2 linked regions of the Caenorhabditis elegans genome follow. The protein of the gene in region 2 interacts with the protein of the main gene of each other region in a biochemical or structural test. Each region holds a gene or a part of one and is shown on either strand. Other genes may lie near its edges.

Region 1 (3,744 bases), on a different chromosome or scaffold from region 2:
TAATCTTTGAAAACTGATAGGAAAAACTTGTCTGATACCAGTTTTTTTTTGTTTATTAGACTCAGTAATATACTAGTACAGTACTTTTGGAAAACTATTGACTTTTCATTGAAATGTGCTCTCCTGTTTGCTTTTCCAAGCTATCAACTTCCCTTGATTTTCTCCATAGATCACGATAATCTTCAAATTTACTGCAGCATTGTATCATAACAGCTAAACTGTGAATATGAATATTGCTGATTAAGTTCTGCACAATTAAAAGAGATATTTTCATGTATCAATTTTCAACAGATGGAAACTTGATCGAAATTTTGAAATTGCAAGAACAGTTTTTTTGGCGTCTGTGGTGTTGAATGTTGTGAGTGTTTCAAAATTGTGTCAAAAATATTTGAAATACTTTTTGAAACGTTATCTGACAAATGAGTTTGTCAAAGCGTCCCAAAATTATTCGCACTATTCTTAGAGCCCAGGAGAGTGATCCTCTCATGTTTTCCTCCCACGTTCTCCTTCACTTATCACTTTTAACCAGACACTCCCTACTACACTTCACACTTCCTTCTCATATTTCTTCAAGGATTCAAACACACAAGTCTGACCACCAAGATTTTATTAGCACACACGTTGTTGACATTTAAATTTCCGGGACCCATCGAAGGAAGAATAAAATGGTAAAAAAGTATTTTACAAACTACAGAATATTGATGTTGGCATATTTTTTTTTGGGGAGGGGGGTTGTTCGGTTTGATGACGTCGATTTGGATGATGTTGAGCAGGATTGAAGTGATGGATTTAGGAGTTTACTCCTCCTCCTCCTCCTCTCCTTCCTCTTCCTCTGCAAGTTTTCAGTTATCGAGAAAATCTAAATCATTTTTGACAAACCGGCTTCTGGCTCAGCCTCGGCTTCCTCTGCAACTGGCTCAGCTTCTGGAGCAACGGCAGCTGGAGCGGAGTCTTCGGCCTTGGCATCCTTGTTCTTCTTGGACCAATCTGGCTTGTCGTCCTTCTTCTTCTGAAATTGAAATATTTGTTTATCAAAATTCTCGAACATTGCAGATAAAACTTACAACATTGACGATGGCCTCCATAACGTCCTTCTTGACAATCTTGAGGTTGGCACGGAAGTCTTCCTTGGTTCCGGCCTTGCTCTCACCGCTCTTCTTGAACTTGTTGTCGTACTTCGACACCTTCTTGAGTGAAGGCTTGACGCTGAAAAATAAAAAGTAAAATCAATACTTTGGATGATTTTACATATATGGGAAATTCATCAAAAACTGATAAAAACTCACAACTTTCCACGAAGATCGTTGACCTCAATAGTGAGGGAGTTGATCTCAGCCTCAGTCTGGGAGACGACGTAGTTGATGTCGTACTTCTCCTCCTCGAGCTGGGTAAGACGAGCCCAGAGGTCATTGTAGATCTTCTCGAGTTGTCCCTTATCATCAATGGAGTCAACATTTGGAAGTGAGATGGTTCTGTCAGCAAGAGCCTTTTGTCTTTCTTGCTCCTTAAGCAATTGTTGTCTCTTAAGATCCTCGGCGGCCTTGACCATCAAAAGCTTCTGAAATCAAAAATAAGTTAAACATTTAAGTGTTCCAAAAACACAACTTACACGAAGCTTCTTCTTACGCTCTGGTGTCAAGAATCCCTTCTTGGCCTTCTTCTTGTTTCCGGCCTCTTCGAGACGCTTGCGCACCTCGGCCTTCTTGGCCTCGCGCTCGGCAGCTTTGCGCTGGGCGTCCTCTCCGGCTTCTTCACTCATCTGAAATTTTAGTTTGGGGTACAAGTATCACAAAACAGAAGATTAAATTCACAAAATGAATAATTTTTGAATGAGCATAAAACAAATTAGCGGCGAGCCTGATCATGCATCCGAAGGCCTTGTGAATTGAAATCTGAAGTATCCTGCCAATAGATGTCGCAACTCGTGAGAGGTACCTAGAGTTGGCAACAGCCGCCCCACAAACCGCCCGCCCTCCAATTCTGTATCTTTGGGTCTCTCGGACAATGCCATACAGACAGATGCTCTTTCCAACACGTCTCCCGCTTGTTGTAATGATTCTTGCCTACCAATTGCGTTGGCCGAGATTGATTGAAGACAAGCGAGAGATAGGGATAGAGCTGTGGCAACTTCAGTGGAAAAAACCAACGGAACGCGGCAAGAAGATATTGGTTTCAGATGGGGCAGTGGGTCAAGTTATGAGCTATTCGGTGAATGGGGCTCCGAACAATTTATGAAGCTAGTCTGTAGTTTTTCTGTATTTTCAAAAAGAAGATATGTGATCAAAAATCAAAATCGTACTACTAAAAATACCTAAACAATTTTTAAAATAACATACTGATTTTTCAACGGTGTCACTGAGTTCATCAATTCGATTGCTTTTTTGTAGTTGTGACATGGCTCGCTAGTGAGATCTGTAAATATTTGTTGGATAAATTGTTTCAAAAGTGAATTGGAACATGACATTTTTCATCAGAATCAAGAATAATTTTATTTATTTTTTCACAGTGTTTTGTTTTCAACCATTTCTCTTTCAGTTCCATAATTTCATGCTGTCACGTAGGATTTGAGTAGGTCAGAAAACAAAAAAACCTAAAAAAAAATTGACAAGCTGACAAGTGTGACGTGTGGAAAAATACAATAAAAATAGTCACGGTGGCCGGTGAGACTCTCTTGAAATTCAATATGTTAGGGACCATGAGTTGAAAGTGTTGCGAGGTGTGGGCAGATGTTTGAGATTTGTGATAAGTGATAAAGAAAAAAGATAGCGGGGATAATGAAATTGGGTATGCAAATCATCATTAGTTATCACAAAAAGTTGAATATTATTACTTTCAAATTGAATTTATCAGTTGTTATCATAAAGTAGTTATTTTTGACAAGACTATAAAATAAGTGAATCTAAATCATTAAAAAAATCACACATTCAAAAATCAGATCACAACGAGAAAAATCTACATTTTCCAACAATGGTAAATAACAACCCGAAACTTGTAAATAAATTCCAATTCCCTGTAACTATTTTCACACCCATTTTAGTTTATGGAGTAGTGATGGATTAAACCGATCTATTGTCCTGTTTATTTTTAACACTTTTTTCCATAAACATTCACATTCTTATCTTGAATTGTTTTCAACTGTGTTATCACGCTTTTCTGCCAATCTCCGAATAGTTTACACTGTTTTCTTCTGATGCGGCAAGCTCTATCTTTCTTTTGATACATTGTTCATTGCAACGAGTATATAGAGAAAGAGAAACATCGGAAGAAGATACAGAAAAATAGCTGATGGAGGCGATGATGATGTTTTGGTTAAAAACGTTGAGCAGTAGTGGGGGCACAAGTGTTACGAAATATTATTATACATGAGCGGTTGTCATATGGGTAAATTAATTGGCACTACCGAACTTTTACAGCTTACAATTTTTTACTTTTAGAAAATTATTTCTTGATTGCTATCAAGGAATAATTTTCATTAGAAGTAGTGTCCTCAGTGAGGTATAACTAATAATGAGCTAAATTGGGTATAAATAAAGTAATATTGGAACTTGATCACATAATCCCTGTTCAGTTGTATGTATTGGAAGTAGGTGTTGGAGCTTGCACAAATTCTCGAAATTATCCTAAAAACTCAAACTTTCCGTAAACAAAATTCACCACAGCTTCGCATTAAAATTTTTTAGAAATTCAAAAATCCTAGGAGTGTTAAATTATGACATTTGGTTATTTTGGACAAGTATAAGTGAG
Region 2 (3,755 bases):
ATTTTATAAAAATTTTCAAAAATCATCGTGAAAAAATTTCGTTAAAAAAATTTTCAGAGGAAAAGGCCTAAACATTTTTGAAAATGAATAAGTTACTTTTAACTAAAACTTTGCATATACTTTCATTTATCAGCTTTACTTTAGTGGAGAGAAAAATAGAACTTTGGAGTATTTTTCCATTTTTAAAAAACTACGCATATTTTTTTCTTTGATGAGTAATATTCTTGCATAAACCTTATGTATAACAAAATTTTCAACTACAAAAATGTGAAAAATAAAAATTTAATTATTTCAGCTCTTGACAAAAGTTTTGTCAAACAAGTAGTTTTAGAGTTACAGGCGAAAATCTGGAAAAAGGGTGTTTATTGAAACTTGGACTTAGCTTGTTTCAACTGACTGTAACTTAGCAGCGGGCACAGATAGGAAATAGTGGTAAACTGATAAAATGTAGTAATTGATGTGCTTATTAATGTTGTAATTGATTACTTTTTTGTATCTTGCACGTTCCGGAAGTTAGCGCCCTTCAAACTTTAAAAAGTCATTTTTGCAAGCATTTTTGGCCATTTTAAGGAGTGTAGCGCCACCAAAAAGATACGCATGGGGCGTCAACTGCAGATTTTTATTCAACTGACTGTCTAATACATCAGGGCATATAAAGTTTTTCATTTCGCCGAAAAATAAAAAAAAATCGAAAAAAAAATTTTTTTTTCGTCATCACAGTTCTGAGATTTAAAATATCTGGGAGTAGTCCGATATGGCTGATATTGTTGGGCTTATCATTACTAACAGTCTTCTATATAACCACAAAAAAATATCTAAGAAAAAATCAAAGATGAGAAAAAGCGACAAAACTTATTGACTGACCTAATAGGTTAATTTATGGGTTTTCTTGAGAGTTATGAGCTAAGACTTGCATGGCATATGTTTTTCGCTGTTTTGAATCATTTACAGATATTTTTTCCACTTTTCAGAAGAAAAAATTTTTTTTTGAAATTTTTGAAATTTTTTTAAAAAGGTGGTCTAGCCACTTTCAAAACGTCATAACTTTGCTGAACCTGGACCGGGGCAGCTAAATTTCTTGGAGAGATCATCATTTTCACTCTTTTATCGAAAAATTACTATGGCATGTCAAAGTCCGGGGTTCAGTTTTTCGACTTCCCTTGTAAGCATTGAATTTAGAGGGGAATCCTTAAAATTTCTGATCCAAATCCATGAGTTAGCCATTTCAGATCCTTGACTAACCATCACTTCCTGACTTTTTTTCCTGCTCACTTACCACCAGTTCCCCTGTCTCCACCAGAGCACATCACCGATCGCGACATGATTGTACACACAGGTAGCTCTCAAGAGAGCTTACCCGCGATTTGCCAGGATACTCTCCCAAATCTCTCTCATGTTTCCATGATCTTTTTGCGCAGTTTGCGGGATGAGAAAAGAAAGCTAACATACACTGTACGCCCACCGAAACTCGAGATCCGCCTCCCCACTACCACTTGTTGGAATTCATTGGGGTGGGCAAACTTTGAAGACACTATGTAACACTTGCTCTTCTTCCCCTTGCTTCCAATTTATGTTTCATTTCCTAACTTTTGATTTTTTACATTTTTTCAGGGGTTTTTTTTACAACCAATTCACCAATCAACATGTCTGACGAGGAATAGTGAGTTGAAATTTAAAAAATGTTATATTTCAAGTTTTAAAATTCCAGCTCCGAGTACGAGGATGAGGAGGTAGAAGAGGAGGAAGTCGAGGAGGTCGAGGAGGCTGAAGCCGAAGAGGAGGAGGACACCGAGCAGCAAGAGGAAGAAAGGTTCAAGCGAGCTTCTGTCGACACCACGGCAACCGGTGGTCCAGCAACACCGGCTGCTTCTTCGCACGCTCCTGTCTCTTTCGAGTACTTCTTTTTTTCAATTCTTTCCTATCTTATAGTAAAAACTACTAGGCTTTTCTTATCCAAGACCGCCGTGATCTCTCTAATCAAATCACTAGTACTGTTGAGTGGAAAAACTTTTGAAAAGCCTGCGTCTCCGCGCTCGGCCACACTATTTTCTTCGCACTCAAGCACATACACTTACGGCATCACTGTTTGCACTTTTTTCTTTCTTTTCACAATTCCATTATCCATGCAATATTGGAGTGGGTTAGAGGGTCAGATATTTGGAAATAGTTTACTTTTAAATGAGCAACCGACGAATCGAAGTATCCGATGAGAACACATCTGTATTTTTGTATAAAGTAGGAGCAGCCGACATATTACGGGACCAAAATATCATTAAAATCATGTGAAGTCGGGCATGCACTTTTGTTGACCTTCGAGATGTCGGCTGCAAAGTTTTACTGACTGTCATTATGAAGTATGAGCTGCCGACATTATACGGGATCCGGCAATTTGTAGAAGGCAGCTGGCAAACCTCGGGTTTCTCAATTGTCGGCTGCACACTTTCAATGGCTAGTGTAGGAATAAGAGCAGCCGACATATAACGGAAATCGAGATCTCAATGAGAGAGAGATCTCAATATCCGGAACATTTTATTTTTTCAAAGCCTCATTAAAAAACAATTTGCCCTGAAAAATGTCGGTTGCTATCCTAAATTGAAAAAAATTAATTAATGCCAAATATCTAACCCTATAAAATCACTGAGACACTACTAAATCATCACATTCTGAAAAAATAAATTACCCTAACAATATGCATTTTTCAGCGGAGAAGCTCTAAATGAAGGTGAGAAGGCTATGCTCGCCGCCAAGAGACGTCACGAGAACGACGAACAGGCCAAGTTGGAAGACTACGAGAAGGCTCGTCGCTCCGAACGTGAAAAGGAAGAGGAAGAGTTGGAGAAGCTGAAGGAGAAGCAAGCTCAGCGTAAGCTCGCCAGAGAGCAAGAAGAGCGTGAAGCTGCCGAGCGCAAGCGTCTCGACGAGGAACGTAGACAGAAGGAGGAGCAGGAGCGTCGTGCTCGTGCCGAAGAGGAGAAGAAGAGGAAGGAAGAGGAGAAGCTGAAGAAGGCTCAGATGATGGGTGGAGGATTCCCAGGACAACAGGGTGGAAGAAACTTTGTCATCCAGAAGAAGGAAGAGTCCGCCGGAGTTGGAGATCGTTTCGGAAACATCGTGCAGGCCAAACAAGAGATGGGAATGACCAAAGAACAACAGGAAGAGGCTAAGTCGGTCGCCATGGCCGGTATTCGTAAGTCGATCGCCGAGGCTTCCACCATTCTTCCAAATGATATGAAGGCCAAGATCAAGGAGCTTCATCAAAGAATCTGCAAGTTGGAGGCTCAGAAGTACGATTTGGAGAAGAGACACGAGAGACAGGAGTACGATGTAAGTAGTCTTAGTCTTAGGCTTCGGCTTATGTTTAGGCTTGGCATAGTCTAGGCTTAGGAATAGGGTTAGGATTAGGCATATGCTTGGGCTTAGGCTTGGCGTAAGTGGCGAGCGGTAGCTAGGCTTATTAGGCTTAGGCTTAGGCTATGACTTAGGCCAAAACTTACTGATTGGCTTACTAGGGAACCATCAGAAGGTGCCCATCGGACTTGCATATGAAACCTATGCCATTCGATAGCCTATGTCTTAAAACGGTTACTCGTGAATTTTTAGCTGCGAATCTCCAGAACCAAGTTCACGGCGAGCTCTCAAAGATCCTAAAATAGCACTATAATGAAGCATTGAATGGCCAATATTCCTAATTTACTTTGGTAGCTCATATCTCCGTGGATAATTTTTTTAGAGAAAAGTCATCAACTGATAAGTTG

The links. Proteins that work in one complex are often made in the same cells at the same time.
Region 1: the proteins of tnt-4 (region 2) and unc-27 interact in far-western blotting, tested with the Caenorhabditis elegans proteins (one study listed by BioGRID).

What each region holds. Positions count from the first base shown.
Region 1 is NC_003284.9:8,787,471-8,791,214, reverse strand, and holds unc-27 (Troponin I 2), read right to left. Parts: upstream 1,760-3,744; coding exon 1,610-1,759; intron 1,559-1,609; coding exon 1,287-1,558; intron 1,207-1,286; coding exon 1,065-1,206; intron 1,010-1,064; coding exon 880-1,009; intron 833-879; coding exon 798-832; 3' UTR 594-797; downstream 1-593.
Region 2 is NC_003283.11:1,990,775-1,994,529, reverse strand, and holds the start of tnt-4 (Troponin T, skeletal muscle), read left to right. Parts: upstream 1-1,616; 5' UTR 1,617-1,643; coding exon 1,644-1,660; intron 1,661-1,708; coding exon 1,709-1,894; intron 1,895-2,702; coding exon 2,703-3,324; intron 3,325-3,755.